Linked DNA regions of Bombyx mori. The protein of the gene in region 1 purifies or fractionates together with the protein of each later gene. This does not show direct contact. Links are inferred from orthologs where the notes say so. Each region holds a gene or a part of one and is shown in the gene's direction. Other genes may lie near its edges. The genes, in order: exocyst complex component 8, exocyst complex component 3 and exocyst complex component 2.

Region 1 (6,699 bases):
TAGACTCTGCGAAGCACTGCGGATACAAGTGCATTGAAAAAGTTAGGATGTCCTTTTCAAACCTCTTTGCTTATGCCATAAAATATAACATTACTGTATTTTTGTACCGTACTGTAGATATTTCTTTTTGCATTCCCAGGACACAATGGCGATGCTCTTGTGAACTGTTATGAATCTCAATCAGTAGTGGCCTCGACCCGCTACTACCGGTACAAGAGGAATGGTAACTACACAGTACCCGCCTCCGAAGCTGCAGCTGCTAATGGAGTGACTGAAGAGAAACAAGAATAAATCGAGACAACAATGAACTGCCTTTAATCGATAACTATAACATTTTACGAGCCTGGTGCTAATAAACTAAATAAAAATATGAATGGTTGATTATTTTTTATTTGTAGAGTTATATTTTTGCTACTTAATGCGGCAATCCTCTCGCGGTAGTGCTAGAGTAATTCTTAATTTATCTAAAATTAAAATTCTGATATACCTAGGGTCTAGGTACTTTGATATTATTTGCAATCGAATCTTTTTTATTCAAACTCTACAAAAACAACGTATTAATACGTTTTGTTTACTGCAAAATTACCGGTTTTGTTATAGGGCTGCGGTTAAATAAACTTACATATCTAGAAAAAAAGAAAATCTAAAGTCCTCGAGTTGAGTCTCGCCGTCTCGCGCCACGTACAGTATTTACAGAGCCCAGAATATTTACCACCAGGATAAGCAGGGCCTGTAACGCAGATTTTACGCAGAAACTACACGAATATGTATGTATAAATCTATAGAATTCCGTAAGTGCCAATGTCTCTCGTTACATATTGAAAACGTCTCATATATTTAAAGGAATTTTGAACAGTATCTTAATTTGCATGCATTAAGACGTGGGCGAGCATTCATTCTCAACTCAACCTTCTATAGGTGCCTGTTTTATTTTCTAGGGATGATAAATAGATACCGAAGCCCATAGACACCAACAACTGAAATACCGAAACCGAAACATTCAAACCTAAACGTATGATTATTTCGTGGTATAAATAGGCAAGGCACCTACCAGTGCAGGCTCACAAGACGCCATACAATCAGTAAGTAAGTTTTTAATGTTGGTAGGTCCTCTTGTGAGTCCGCGCGGGTGGGTACCACCACCCTGCCTATTTCTGCCGTGAAGAGTTTCGGTTTGAAGGGTGCGGCAGCCGTTGTAACTATACTTGAGACCTTAGAACTTGTATCTCAAGGTGGGTGGCGCATTTACGTTGTGGATGTCTATGGGCTCCAGTAACCACTTAACACCAGGTGGGCTGTGAGCTCGTCCACCCATCTAAGCAATAAAAAAATAAAAAGTAAGAAGTACCTTTGGAATAGCTTCAAGTAAATGACTCGAGGGCCTAATGCATTAGATACGGCGTACTCGCATCGAGTGACATCGTCAAGCAGGTATTGAAATCCCTCAGGATGCCTTTTTTATTATAATTTATTTAAGTTTTATGACCCAGCCCATTACCCTGCCTATTTCTGCTGCAAAGCACTCATCGCAGTAGATTTATGGGTGGCAGAATGTAGGGTTAGCTCGCACGGGTAAGGGCCATTATTAAAATCTATTCCTGCCTCGAAGGTGTCATGTGTTCCAGTTTGAAGGGTGTGACAGCCATTATACAATACAAAGCAGACTTTGATACCTTAAGACTTATGTTTCTCTAGGTTGTTTCAGATTGTGATGTCTTTAACACTACTTAACACCAGGTGGGCCCTTAGCTGAATTTTTGGGTGGGTAGGTGTTACGTCTAGAATAGTCTAGATGTTACTTTTCATAACATCCATTAATAAGTTGGATCCAGTTTTATTACTGGTGGTAGGGCCTCTTGTGAGTCCGCGCGGGTAGGTACCACCACCCTGCCTATTTCTGCCGTGAAGCAGTAATGCGTTTCGGTTTGAAGGGTAGGGCAGCCGTTGTAACTATACTTGAGACCTTAGAACTTATATCTCAAGGTGGGTGGCGCATTTACGTTGTAGATGTCTATGGGCTCCAGTAACCACTTGACACCAGGTGGGCCGTGAGCTCGTCCACCCATCTAAGCAATAAATAAAAAAAAAAAATAAAAAAATTAATAGTATAAAAAATACTAATACATAATTACATAACAATATTTTTTTAAATCCCAAATTGAACGAAGTTAATTTAATTATAAAAAAATATATTAAATACATAAGTGGACCATTTATTTTGACTCTAATTGTACGATGGGCAGATGACCCCAAATCTTTTGTCGAAAGCTCACAACTCGTGCCGATTACTATACAGTATGCGCGCGAGTTCATGTACATCGGGGCCGGAGGCGACGCGCAGGGGGCAGCTCGCCCCGCCTCCCCGCGTTTGTTTGACGTCTAGTGTTGTCTTTGACAGTTGTGACGCGCGCTTATCGATACCAAAAACTTACGCTAACGCTATTGTGTTATTTCATGGTGAATAAACCACGAATACTCCGCTTCCAACAAGTTCAGGTAGAAAAAAACCTACACTGATTCGGACTCTGATCTGTTGGTTGTCTTTTCATCTCATAGTAGTTGAATTGGAATTTAAAAAATATTTTTCTCTATTAGGAAGAAATAAGTCATTACTTATCGCATTTATTTTATAATTTGCGAAGTGACCTGGTTACATTAAACCAAATTGACAGCTGTTGACTAAATCGGTAGTTATTATCGACATTACCATAATTAACTAGGTCACAGCACTACCGCATTCCTCAGGATGGACAAGCTCGCGCGTCTACTGTACATAAAATTTGAGAAAACGTTTTGATAGCAACGTTGGCAGCGCGTTGCCAACAAACTGACTTTAAAAGAAGCTGAGATAACAAAACGCATTTTTGACATATCGTTTTGATAGAAAACGTCCTGTCGTTCGATACCTACCTATAGAATCGAATGATGTGCGAGCCAGTGTTTTGTGATAAATACGAAAGAAGTATACAATAAATACATGTGCAACGATGTCCGAGATAGATATGGATAAGTTTGCTGTCCCAGACTTCGTCCCCGAACGTTACGTAAAAGACCTCGCTAGATCCTGCGTCGGAGGGGAGGAGCTACAGCAACAGAAGGAGAAAATACAAAATTTAGCCGAAGAAACCGCAAGTGCCCTAAAGAAAAATGTCTACGAGAATTATATGCAGTTTATCGAGACTGCGACGGAGATATCCCACCTCGAAACAGAAATGTACAAGCTATCGCATTTGTTAAGCGAACAGCGTTCTGTGCTGACTGTGCTCTCCCACGCCTCAATCCTCGGTAACGAGAACGGTTTATCACGCGAGTCTCTTGATAATCACGACGTCGAGGCTGAGAGGGCAGAAGAGGAACGAAAAAATAAATTAAATCTCATTACAGAAAAGGTAGAATCATGCATGAATCTGTTAGATGTCCCAGACCGAACTCTGCTTCATGAAGGTGACTTGCTAGAAATAGATGCAGAAGAAAATACTGCATTACAAAGAATGCATGTATATTTATTTAATGACTGCCTTATGTTAACATCCTGGATTTCTAACAGACGTGGTCCAATGAGATATAAGTTTCAAGTGAGTTACCCAATAAAGAATTTAGCAGTGGTGAATGTAAGAGATTTAGGAACTGTGAAACAAGCATTTAAAGTGTTAGCCTTCCCAGACACCAGAGTATTTCAATGCAATAGTTTTGCGATAAAAAAAGATTGGCTAGACAAATTTGAGATAGCAAAAAAACTGTATATTGAAAAAGAAAATTCTAAACAGAAGAAAAAAGATAGTCAAGAAAAATCAAAATCTGAATCTATTGAATCACCGAGTCTGTCTGTGGAAGAGATGCCATCACCCCAAATTACACCATTGCCTGAGTGGTTGGCTGATGTTACTGAAGAGCTTGATGTTTTGATTGTGGAGAGACATTTTCAAAAGACCTATGAGTTGATGGTTTCAGCTCAAAAAGCTTTAAATACTGAAGATTTTAAAAACCATCCACAAAGGGTTGATATATTGAAAAAAATAGAACAGAAGCAAAAGAGTTTAATTGAAATATTATTGAAAGATTTAGATGTAACACATAATTGGAGTTTGCGAGGAGGTCTCCAATCAACTAGACAACCGGTACTGATACTCAATAAGTTTAATATGACCAGTCAGGCTTGTGACTTGTTTTTGACGATATGCAGTTACACAGTCAAAGTTCATGTGAAAAGGGTGCAACTGGAAGGGTCAATTAACACTTATGTCAAACAAGTGGGTGAAGTGTTTTTTTGCTCATTGAGTGATGCCTTAACAGAGTTTATTTCACTATTTCCTAAAAATAAAATAAGTGCTTTTATAGTCTGGGCTAGTCTGCAACTTAGGATATTGATGAGTCAGATTATAAAACAAGTGTTCACACCTCAGTGTGCATTAGATTCCGTTCAGGATTGTGTTGAGAGTCTAAGGGAACAATGTACATTGTTTTGTCAATTTGGTTTAGATTTAAGATTCCAGTTGAACAGTTGTTTGAGAACACCAATAATAAAAGCTTTGAGAGAATATAAAGAGAAGACTGTTGACTCTATGAAAAATAAAATCACTGAAGACAAATGGACTCCAGTGAATATGCACACCAAAGCAGGTGTCAATAAATTCCTGAAACAAATGGAAACTTTGGGCCTTATATTAGCTAAGTATGTAATTAATGAAACATGGGTAGATTTATCAAGTAGTACCATATGGTTTACAAAGTCTATTGTCACTATACAGAAAATAGGTCTCCAGTTAGTGAACAAAGATATGATGGATAACCTTGATGAATACATTTATACAATATTCAATTCATGGCTTGTCCTCGCATCAGTCAACGATATTAGTTATGCAAAGAAGAATTTCAAATTCATTTTAGAAACAGTGATGCCTTTAATGCTTAGATGTTATAAAGAAGAAGTTGGCTATGATAATGAGAAATTAGTAGCTTTGGCAAAGAACTATGGTGTCAGTATTACACCATCCAAAAACATCACAAAATACACAAGTAATGAATATTTATGAGAATAGTCAATAGTCTATAAATAAGATGTATGAAATTATTTATATTATGCTGAAGCTTTAAATTTGTAATATAATAGAGAGTAAGCAAGCAGAATTATGTTAGTTTATATAAATACTGATCAAATTAAATTTTATGTATATGCAAGTTACGAATATTAAGTTTTAATACAATCATTATTTATGGTGATCTGTTTAAGTGTTCTTTGAAATTGTAAAGACAAGAATAAAATATATTTCCAGTATTATGATTTTTATTACTAGTGCAGTCAATTTTGCATGTTACAAAATATAACTAGAGAAATTATCATTTCTTCGCCCATATTTAACAGCAAATTGAAGCAATAAAATACATGAAGCAACTAAACCTAATTGTATTACAATTTAATTATTTACACATCTATAACAATAAAACAAACAGAGACTTATATTTAATGTGATATATTAAAAAAAGAATCTATATTTTAAATAATAATAATAATATTTACCAGAATAATATTTTTGGTGTATTCTAAATTTGTAAATACAGGAACTTTTTAAGCAAGAAATATCATAGAATACAGCAAATTATATGATACATTGTGTACATTTATCAGTTAATATTATATGTTTCATGCTTTGTGTATTGAAAATTTATTTTACGTTTGCAATTAATTTATTTCATATATTTTTTGACATAATTACATATAAAAGGGATATAATTTGACATCTATACTATTTGGGCTTGTTTTTATTTGGAACACTATTATGTCATAAAAATAAATTCATGACATTATTTCATAATTGAATAAAAATATGATTCAGTCTATTTCTTTTTAATATGACAGAATGTATATTAATATATTATTATATCCTATGTTAAGGATACACCAATTTTTGGCTCAATCGAGTTCCATTAAAGATTCTATGAATGTGGTTCCATTGATTATTTTAGTGGTTAAGATAACAAATTCCACAACCGAATCTTCCTGCTGGCTGATCGTCCTGAGCACTGAGATCTCGTGGTACGTACAGCCTCCAATGAAGAATACGAGCACGACCCGTGGGTTTTCTATTGATGATGAATTCTCACTGGAACCGGAATGGCGACGTGTCATACGAGGTTGTAGGGTTTGTAGCTCGTCCACTGTAGGGCCCGGCAGGAGGCCTAATACGTCTTGGATACCTGTGAAAGTATAATTGTCGTATTTGTTACGTCTTCACACTCAGACCACTGAACCGATTTTGACGAAATTTGATAATGAAATAGTTCGCCTCTTTGTAAAGACTAGGCTACCTTTAATCTCACCACTGAGCATCACTACATAGTATAAAACAAAGTCGCTTTCTCTGTCCCTATATCCCTATGTATGCTTAAATCTTTAAAACTACGCAATGGATTTTGATGCGGTTTTTTTTAATAGATAGAGTGATTGAAGAGGAAGGTTTATATGTATAATAACATCCATTAAATAGTGGAGAAATCAATAATAAATTACAGTTTCCGAAGCGAAGCGAGGGCGGGTCGGTAGTATGATACCTATACGTTTGTTTTTAGTAAATGCACTCTCTTATAATGCACACAGAAGTGGAGCTGAAATTATCCATTAAAATGAATAAAACGCTTGAAGGTATATTCAGGTCTTCCGCCTTTATTGAAATCATAAAATTGATTATAGTAAAAAAAAGA
Region 2 (5,163 bases), on another chromosome or scaffold:
CTTTTGTGAGTCCGCGAGGGTAGGTACCACGACCCCGCCTATTTCTGCCGTGAAGCAGTAATACGTTTCGGTTTGAAGGTGGGGCAGCCGTTGTAACTACATATATTGAGACCTTTTTTTTTTTATTGCTTATATGGGTGGACGAGCTCACAGCCCACCTGTTGTTAAGTGGTTACTGGAGCCCATAGACATCTACAACGTAAATGCGCCACCCACCTTGAGATATAAGTTCTAAGGTTATCTAACTATACTTGAGACTTGACTATATATAAAAAACTTATTAATCGAGGGCCTCGTCAATTTTACGTGTAAATATGTGTTGCAAGTAGAACGCGCATTTCTCGGACCGTTCCCGCGTGGTGTACTTCACGCACCACATGATCACGATCGTGAACAACAGCGAGCAGATGGCGCGCCTGGCGCAGCAGACGCAGGCCCGCCACTGGCCGCCCGCCCTGCACGACCCCGCCGCCGAGGCCAAGTTCGACAACATGCTCGCCACCTTCAACGTAAGTCTGTTTCCCCTCTATCACCAACCCACATCTACCAACCGTAGTCAAACCCATAGACCTTAAAAAGATGCGTGGTGTCGTGGGACACCGGATAGGAATGAATGTCATTATTATAAAAATATTAATTTTAAGTTCTATTCGAGGTAAAAAGAAAATAAAACTGGAGATTTCGCGACAAACCACGGTCATTCGGTAACGTGCGAACTTATTGTGGTACACTTCATTCTCGCTTGTTTGCATTAGAGTTAGTGTATTGCGCAAACGAACGCTCTGAGATCGTGGTCAATGAATGATAAAAAAATACGTTATTTTTTGTACGTTATCGCAAAGTTAAGTGGTACACTGTGTGCATTACTAATAAAAATCTTACGTTACGAACGCGTTTTCCCTGTTAGGGTACCTCTCCGCATCGTCCCATAAGGAACTTCATTCCAAAAACCTTATAATTTAAATCAGTTATACTTCTAAAGTCACATTAGTAAAATTTAGAACTGTAGTAGAGAACAGAAATTTTCAACGAAAATTTGTTTGAACGAAATGTATTGTCTGCTTTTGTCGAATTTACCGACAAAAACTATATATTTAATAAATTTATTTTTTAAATTTAATGTGCTGCGTGGTGTTTCAGGTTTTACCAATTCATTGAAGATACGAGTTTTTTTTTTCTCTGCTTTTAAGTAATATTTTGAAGTACAGAAACGATCACAAGTCAAATAAAATTGAACTAATTGTTACTAGCACACCTAATATGTGTACTATTTGTTTGTCCTCCGACACAGAATTTGCGAGACGAAGCTGCTAAATTTCTTCTTGAAGAAGCATTCCTCGACCTTGAAGTTCATTTTGATGACCTGTTCACTTCCAAATGGCTGCCTTCCAGCATTCCAGTAGATACCATCTGCATTACACTCGATGACTATTTCCAAGATTACAACCATTTGAGAGAGAAAAATTTCGAATATGTGATAAACGAAGCTCAGAACTTAGTTTATAGGAAGTACATAACGGCAATGTTGTCCAAGAAAATGGCATTCAAAACTGTTGAGGAAGCACAACAAGCTGCCAATAAGATATTGAAAGAAGGAAAACAAATACGGTCCTTCTTCAAGAAGATAGCGCCCGAGGGTGTTAATGTAGATTGGCCATTTGAAGTCATCTCTATGCTTGCTGAGGTAATTCTTTTGTCAAAAACTTCTCTTTTTAACTTAATTACTTACTTAAATTATGAAATAATATGAATAATTATGAAAGTTAAAAAAATATAAGCGGAGACATAAAGAGGTGGAACTCTACGAATAAATAACGGTAGAAGCAGCGGCTTGGCGTTGCCTCTGGCATTGTTGAAGGCCATGTGCGACGGTAACCACTCACCATCAGGTGTGCCTTTTTTTTCCTACTTAAGCTGATAGACTTGAGAGGTTATTTTACCGTAACCTTAACTAGTAGGTGAGCTCACGGGGCTCAAACCTGACGAAGTTGCTAACACGAACCCTAGCAAGAGCCGTGCTTCGCCGAAATCTACCACCAGATCGGAAACGCGACCCACTGAGAAGATCCGGCGGTGAAACTCAGTGGGCTGTGTCTGTGGGTGAATTTACTCGTCGAGCCCTTCGTCGCAAGCGACTGGTTCGACGAGAACGATGATCGGTGCTTGAGGTACCTAGAAGCACCCAGGTGTGCCGTATGCTCGTCTGTCTACAAGGACAATAAATAAGAAAAGGCTAATAAACCAGTTGTCGGAACCCATAGACAGCCCATCATAAATATACTCGCTCACCTTGGGACATGCGGTCGAAATCTCCCGCAACTCAGACTGGATTGTAGATACTTCTTTTTAATAGTAAATAATTAAATCGCAATTTTGATTTGATTCATCACAGTTTGGGATTAGTAATATCCATGAGGGACAATAACGACATACCATCGGGTATACATGTTCATTTGGGTTGCACTACAGAGATTCTTATCAGATACTATGTGTACTTCATGGTTTTTTAGTCATCCTGTTATATAAAATAAAGGAAAAAACCTGATAAAGGTCTCGCAAAAATATTAATATTATAATCTCTGCATTTGGAGATCAAAATTATCGTTTGTTCTTTGGCCTAAAAGCTAAGCTTGCTTTAATATTTTGTGACGTCACCTTTTAGTAAAATATGGTATACATATTATATTAAGTGCACTGAATTTCTCACCGGATCTTCTCAGCGGGTCGTGATTCCGATCCTGGCTAGTGTTAGCAAATTCTCTCAGGTTGAGCCCGTGAGCTTACTAACCCGTTCGGTCGTAGCTGGAATAGCCTCTTAGGCTACCAGCGAATAGGTAGGGGGGAAAACAACAGTAATTACTATTCATTACTATACTAGTAATTACTATTCCCACTCAATCAGTTCGTCGCCATCCTTCGCCGCGCTCGCGCGTATCACTTTTTAATTAAATCCAGCGCGAATTATAATTTAGTTTAAAAAAAAAAGGTTCATAGAATCACGTATAACATTGGTGGCAGCGGTGGGATACGAACCCACGTCTCCGAAGAGACTGGTTTTAAAATAAATAAATAAAACGGTATGGATAAGGTTACGGAAAAGCTGATGCAGCAGAAATATGGTAGGGTCTGCATATCTCGTAGTCTCCTGTGAGAAATTGGGGGCGGTGAAGAACCTCGGCCCTGCTCTTCTCCCCTCTCAGGAGGCCCTGGAGTCCGACATTACCGGTCCGTTACCCCCCTCGACCGGGTATCCGTAAATGGATTCCCCAGCGTTAAAAAAAAAGGTCTGCATATCTAGGGTACTGAAGCCCGGATATAACAGAGTAATACAGTGTGAGTCGTGCAGGTGCTGCGGTGTCAAGACATCGAGATGTTGTCGCTGGACCTGCACAGCGTGGTGTCGAAGTGCGCGGACATGTCGGAGGAGCAGCTGGCGCGGCTGGTGTGGCTGCGCGGGGACGTGCCGCGGGCGCGCCTGCGGGACACCGTGGCCGTCGCGCTCGCCTCCCGCCCCGCGCCGCGCCCCACCGCGCACCCCGCACTCTTCGCGCACATCACCTTCAACGACAGCCTGCTCTCACACTTCGCGCGCTGACCTTATGTCTTCGCGCATTTTGTCGCACCTTATACCCTATACACCCATTTAAATTATATTATTTAATATGAATAAATACTTTAATAATAACGTTTGGTATTTATTTTGGCGTTGGTTTTGGAAGGAACTGCAAAGATTTACTAAATAAAAAAATCCATTTTATTTTAAACGACCCTTATTTTTGAGTTAGTATGTTTTAATACATCACTGCTAATTTATTTTTGGATTTTTTTTGTTAATATTGATTATCTAAGTTTGTCGCATTAATACGATATTTATTAATATAATGTAATAAGTAAATATTACTTTTCGTTTACATTAGAATCTATTATCGTGCCGATGTAATGGTCTATTTACACCATGCACCACAAGTTTGAATAAAACATAAACATCAAAAACCTACGAATCGCAAACAGATGTCTCTCGTTCGGTAGGTACTTAGAAAATATAAAAATAATAATTAGGACATTCTTCGGGTTAATGACTCTGGAACATAGGATCACAATGATCGGTATTATTTAGTGTGACTACCTCCGTACCTCGCACGGACTCAAGGCCGGTGTGTAGTCCGAAGGGCGGGCGGCGAGTCTCGCAGTCAGTCGCGTCCAACGCGCCTCGCTCTCGTATCCTCGTCACGCCGAAGTACGCTCCTGGCGTCGATATGTTTCGCGTGTGTTGCTTAATCTTGTTCTTAGTGGCAGGTGAGCAACTGTGTTTACAAAAATTGCGATACCGACTTATCTGACCTTAAACGTTTCTATTCTATACAACACCCGAGTAAATTTGACTTGAATAATAACAATATATTTAATTAATTTAAAGTATTTTAATTGACATCTTCTTTGGTAACTGGCTTTCTCAAGAGAGCGTACGCTCAGAAACCGAATTCGTTTACTAAAAGTCTACATTTCTTTTTAAAGAAACAAAGTATACGTAGCCATGTTAATCAATTGAAACATTTTCAAAATTACTCGCTTCCTATTTTAGTAACGCATAGATTAAGAAGAATTTTCAATTGATTTTGAAATTCTATTTAACCGGCACCTAACAAATTCCATTTATATTTTATATATGTATGTAATACTTAAATTTAATATTAAATATTTTTTGCGATATTGCAAATTTTACATTAGCGTACTATTAAGTGACAAGCAAACTTGTCGTTATTAATTTCATAATATTTACTATTTTTTGATGAAATACATCGAATTTGTTAGTTTTAATATAAAAATCCAACTACATTTGTATTGTAGAAAAATAGGGAATAGTTGTTAAATAGTAGAAAACATTTGATAGCGTCTTGCGTGTTAGTTCCACAGAACGTTCGTTCTACTCGCGGTGGTATTTTTAACATTCCCGGACCGCCTCAAGGTTAGCCAAGATAGTCGCTTATTCATTCGGATATGACCTAATTTTCCACAATAAATTGTTTATAGAATCCAAAACCAAATGCCAAACCATAAATAATCTCCATGCTGCGACATTTTTGGCTCTTTGACGAAAATCGCTATACCATTTGGTGGATTTATGGCGGGAAACTGCTACATACTGTAGATAATATTTACTTC
Region 3 (5,433 bases), on another chromosome or scaffold:
GAATATATATTTTTTTTATTATCGTCATGTAAGCGATTTTGAAGGATGGGTAGGACAGCTGGTTCGCAAATAGTATACTATCGCCTCGTTAAGCGATTATCGGGGAGTGCACTCTGAGCGGTCCCCCTACCGTGGTTCGTGAGGAATGTCGAGCTACACGACGACCTTGACCTCGAATCAACCCGGAAACGCATGAAGTCAGCCTCAGACCGCCGCCGCTAACTGCTCCCCGAATCCTGATTACGCAGGAGCCAGTCCCAATCAGATCCAATAACCCTTGCATTAGACGTCTTTAGCTTAAGGATTCTGTGCACGTTTAGGGACCCTGGCAACCGTATTTGTGGAACTCGGCAAAGATTTCGACGTGCAACCTAACCTAAACATCAGCCCGCTGAGCTTCTCGCCGGATCTTCTCAGTGGGTCACGATTCCGATCCGGTAGCAGATTCATTCGCGAAGCAGCTACTTTTGAGTTGTTAAATCTCCCTTGGAAGCGCTCGGGTAGATGTTAGCAAATCCCACCCTTCCTTGCTGAGCTCTTGCTCGCCCACCTGTCCTTATGGAACTGGAAAGGCCTCCGGGCCACCAGTATTCACACAATCATAAAAAAGGCTGGTCCACCCGTCTTATGTATAATAACGATCGTCAGACTGACAGCGTGTGTGGCGCGTCGGCGGGGCGCTACGTGCGCGACATCTGCGAGACTGTGTGCGAGGAGGTGGCGCGGCTGGCGGCGTGCGCTCCCCCCGCGCTGCCCCGCCCCGCCGCCTTCCGCGCCACGCTCGAGTACACGCTGCTCTCCGTCGCCATCAGGGACCACCTCACCAGGAAGGCAGAGTCAGTTAACTATTTTCATTTGTTTCTTTATTAGCGATGCGGCCAGAGGAACAATACCCGATCCGGTGGATCGAATGGTAAACAGTCGATGTCGCCCTAAACACGTAATTTCGGATCCTCTCGATCCGGTAACGTTGCTTTTAGGTACCTCAAGCACCGATCATCGTTTGCGTTGAACCCGTCGCTTGCGACGACGGGCTTAACGTGTAAATTAACCCACAGACACAGCCCACTGAGTTTCTCGCCGGACCTTCTCAGTGGGTTGTGTTTCTGATCCGGTGGTAGATCATTTACTGGTGGTAGGACCCCTTGTGAGTCCGCGCGGGTAGGTACCACCAACCTGCCTATTTCTGCCGTGAAGCAGTAATGCGTTTCGGTTTGAAGGGTGGGGCAGCCGTTGTAACTATACTGAGACCTTAGAACTTATATCTCCAGGTGGGTGGCGTATTTACGTTGTAGATGTCTATGGGCTCCAGTAACCACTTAACAACAGGTGGGCTGTGAGCTCGTCCACCCACCGAAGCAATAAAAAAAAATTCAAAGAAATTTTACATTAAACATTTTCGTATAGACCTCAAATAGAAAAACTGAAATCATGATTGTTCGACCTGATGTCTGTAATCTTCAGAGTTAGGATGCTGGACCACAAAGTTGACTATTTAAAAAAGGTGGTTTGAAAACACATTTGAACCGAACGATAATTCTTAAGGCTAAAAAATGTATATTATAAATCGTTGACAAACAATTTCAGTCATAAGAAACATTATGTTTTATTGCGTAAAATATTTAATTTCAATAATTGTCTTCTCGGTTGCAGAAACTACTTAAAGGAGGCTCTAGCGGCCGTGCCGCCGCTTGAACTTGAAGAAGATAAAATGTGAGTAAAACTATTGATCAGATTCACATTACGCAGTGAACAGAATTTTATGGCGGGCGTAGTTTGTATAGGAACTATTTATCTATACTTCTATACTAATATGTATTATAAAGAGGAAAGATTTGTTTGTTTGTTTGTATTGAATAGGCTCCGAAACTAAAGGACCGATTTGAAACATTCTTTCACTGTTTGGGAGCTACACTATTCCCGAGTGACATAGGCTATAATCTTTTTTGAAAAAAAAAACTGGGGATCCTTACTAAAGCTCCAATAATATAACCCAAGGTGTAAACAAATTACTTAAAATATTATTTACATCGCGTGCCCTGCGAAAATTATTGATGATAGAATAAAATAATGTACTACGACTTTGTAGAACATCTTATTATTTACAAAAGTGTCGCGACAGAATATGTCTAACTATTACAGTCATGCCGCAATAAGCGTTCTTTTATTTTTAAAAATAACACAACGTCAAATATCGTTGAAATTTTTGTTAAAGACCCGAGCGGAGCCGGAGCGGGCCGCTAGTTAATTATATTTTAACTATATCACTCACCGTACCACTTCTTGCGTTACAGACGTATGCAAAGTATTGTACAGGATTTCAAGAAACGAATGGCACTTCAGCTGGCGAGTTTGAATTGTAACACGGAGACAGTTTAATTTACGAATTCACTTCAGTATTATCAAAGAATTCATTTTGAATGACGAAATTAAATATGATAATGGCTTTTGAATAGAATTAAAGTGGACACAGCGAATATGTTTATTTTATTTACATTTGTCTTATTTTAATGTAGAAAATAGTTATTTTAATCTTAAATGCATAAAAATACAGGGGTGGACAGACGTTTGTCTTCAAAATCTAGCAAAAGTAGCAAATGTTATGATGGCGGAATTATTTGCACACAAACCACAGACCATGAAATCACAAGAAACCACAGACTTATAAAATGTTTGAAACATTACAGTGCAAAAATTTTTCTGGGTCAATTTTTTTTGCTTCTAAGACGTGTAATCTCTGTTATATCAGCTGTAATATGGAAAACTTTTGCTAAAAAAGTTTTTTTTTCGGAAATGTCGTTTCTTTTGTATTTCACTTTGGAAAGTTCTTTTTTTTTGTATGAGAGATTGAAATTTTAAAACCAATCGCATAAATTTTAGGAAATCTCATCTATAACTAATATCTAATTCGTGAAACAAAAAATAAGATCAAAATTTTAAACCATGGCAGTGTTGATAACAAACACTATTAAAAGAATTGAGTCTTCCACCTCTTTCTTGAGCCTCAGTGCCATGCAACACCAGACTGTCACAGAGTTCGTTAATTAACCGATATTTATAAAAAATCACTAAAGTCCGGCCGCTGGAAGAATGCACTCGTGATTTTACGATTTTTGTTACGATGTAACTTTGAAGTAGGGTTTAATTTACGTTTATTATTTTTTTGACCTACAAATGTATAATTATGATTAATAAGTAAAAGGTTATGTCAATTTAAAATAAATATCATAATCTTGCGCTAAATTAAAGTTAAATCTTTCATTCCCCGACCCTACCTCTACCGTGTAGATGTCAATATAAATTGTCACGATAAATTTACACGAAATGTCACTATGAATTAATTCTCCGTCTCCACCTCTACCATACCGTGTAGATGTCAATATAAATTAAGATTTTTTTTAAATGTATATTTATTTATTCATATATTTAAAATCAAAGGAAACACTAAGCAAAGTATTTTATTATTGTTTCTATAACATAACATTATTCATAATAAACGATTATATTGTTATCTAAATCAATGTGTTTTTATTTCTAAATCTTGCTCTTCTTGTAGTTCTGAAAATTAAATACCTATTAAAATGTTTTTATTTTATTTATTTTTTATTGCCTTTGTAGGCAGACGGGCATACGGCCCACCTGATGGTGAGTGGTTACCGTCGCCCATGGACTTCAGCAATGCCAGGGGCAGAGCCAAGCCGCTGCCTATCGCTAAATGAATAAGAATTCGTCATGTGATACTATTCTACAATAGCGAAACTGCCTTAACGCTATTGCCAATATTTTGAACAATGTCAATACATTCCTGGATACTGCCAGCCGCACCTCTGCTTGAACAGGCTTCATGTTACGTACATAAGATATTCAGAGTAACTAATCTTGGACCATCTTTAAACCAACAGCTCCTTATTTGAAAGGTATCGGAAATGTTCTCGTACCAAATATTTCACAATTTTCATTGTAGACAATATAAATATATTGTACCCAACAGCAAATTGTTTAAAAACAGCATCGAATTTATCAGTAAAACGACGTAGCAATTAACGTTTCAAAATTGGAGACCAGGAATAGTGGACTTGTAGAGTGAATAAGTATATTATTTGTGGTGTGAAATGCTCCTACCCCTCTGGAATTATCTGGGATTTTTTATTTCTTTTAATTTTTAACCTGCGCTCACCGATTATGTGTAAACTTTATTTTTACATTTAAATATTACATTCCTTTTTTTTTATGAATGAAAGATTACTGGTGGCCCGGAGGCCTTTCCAGTTTCATCAGGTCAGGTGGGCGAGCAAAGGCTCAGCCTGGAGGGGTATTACATTCCCCCCACCAGACCTGTATATAGATGTCACTTGTTTCTGAAAATATTCTAGAATACTTGCTATTTTTATTCTGGAAAACGTCACTTTGTATATATGATATTTGGTAAATTTTATTATCGCTATTATGTTCGTAAAACTTTTTTTTGTTGCCCTTGTAGCCAGACGAGCATACGGCCCACCTGATGGTGACTGGTTACCGTCGCCCATGGAATTCAGCAATGCCAGGGGCAGAGCCAAGCTGCGGCCTACCGAAAAGCTAAACAGTTAGACGTAGCTATATAATAAACAAGCGACCCGCCCTCGCTTCGCTTCGGAAACTGTAATTTATTATTGATTTCTCCGCTATTTAATGGATGTAATTTATTATACATACAAACCTTCCTCTTCAATCACTCTATCTATTAAAAAAAACCGCATCAAAATCCGTTGCGTAGTTTTAAAGATTTAAGCATACATAGGGACAGACAGATATAGGAACAGAGAAAGCGACTTTGTTTTATACTATGTAGTGATGACTTAACAAATTTTTAGCACGATTGTCATCTATATATATAAAAATGAATTGCTGTTCGTTAGTCTCGCTAAAACTCGAGAACGGCTGGACTGATTTGTCTAATTTTGGTCTTAAATTATTCGTGGAAGTCCACAAAATGTTTAAAAGGTGAATAAATATGAAAATGTTCGGAATTATATAAAAACAAACAATTTTGTTTTTCCTTTGATGTGTCTCCTGTTGGACGGATTCCTTTTGTTTTTTATAAGTTTATTTTATACAAAAGTTTAGGTCTTTTATTTATCGATTGAGGCAGTACAAAGTCTGCCGGGTCAGCTAGTAATTAATAACTACTTGTAGTAGAAATCGCGATATGTACCTGAGAGGCTAGTTTGTGGAGTAAATTCGACATCGACGGGCCTGTTTCCTGCACCATTTTACGAAATTGCCCTCTCTTGTTTTGCAGAAGTATATGAGGATGGTCGAACTCTACCAGACGACCCGCGTCTAGCACCAAAATCTACATCGAACACAGCATTTTATTATAACAATAATATATGACGGAGCGAGCGGTTCGTTTGTGTTTCTAAAATGAAGGACGAGCTCACAGCCCACCTG

The links.
Region 2: the proteins of exocyst complex component 8 (region 1) and exocyst complex component 3 purify together in Homo sapiens (affinity purification with mass spectrometry; 5 studies listed by BioGRID and IntAct, counting the BioPlex papers as one, with this or other methods). This does not show direct contact. The link is inferred for Bombyx mori from reciprocal best matches to the Homo sapiens genes EXOC8 and EXOC3.
Region 3: the proteins of exocyst complex component 8 (region 1) and exocyst complex component 2 purify together in Homo sapiens (affinity purification with mass spectrometry; 7 studies listed by BioGRID and IntAct, counting the BioPlex papers as one, with this or other methods). This does not show direct contact. The link is inferred for Bombyx mori from reciprocal best matches to the Homo sapiens genes EXOC8 and EXOC2.

What each region holds. Positions count from the first base shown.
Region 1 is NC_085122.1:6,418,419-6,425,117, reverse strand, and holds exocyst complex component 8, read left to right. Parts: upstream 1-2,728; 5' UTR 2,729-2,987; coding exon 2,988-5,033; 3' UTR 5,034-5,275; downstream 5,276-6,699. Other genes in the region: vacuolar protein sorting-associated protein 33A, read right to left, coding at 5,912-6,195. UniProt on the Homo sapiens protein: Component of the exocyst complex involved in the docking of exocytic vesicles with fusion sites on the plasma membrane.
Region 2 is NC_085118.1:10,549,790-10,554,952, reverse strand, and holds the end of exocyst complex component 3, read left to right. Parts: intron 1-329; coding exon 330-509; intron 510-1,291; coding exon 1,292-1,684; intron 1,685-3,346; coding exon 3,347-3,595; 3' UTR 3,596-3,685; downstream 3,686-5,163. Other genes in the region: uncharacterized protein LOC101740585, read left to right, coding at 4,257-4,296. UniProt on the Homo sapiens protein: Component of the exocyst complex involved in the docking of exocytic vesicles with fusion sites on the plasma membrane.
Region 3 is NC_085121.1:12,816,163-12,821,595, forward strand, and holds the end of exocyst complex component 2, read left to right. Parts: intron 1-648; coding exon 649-836; intron 837-1,653; coding exon 1,654-1,713; intron 1,714-2,294; coding exon 2,295-2,379; 3' UTR 2,380-3,517; downstream 3,518-5,433. Other genes in the region: ATP-binding cassette sub-family C member 4, read right to left, coding at 3,535-3,558, 5,195-5,335. UniProt on the Homo sapiens protein: Component of the exocyst complex involved in the docking of exocytic vesicles with fusion sites on the plasma membrane.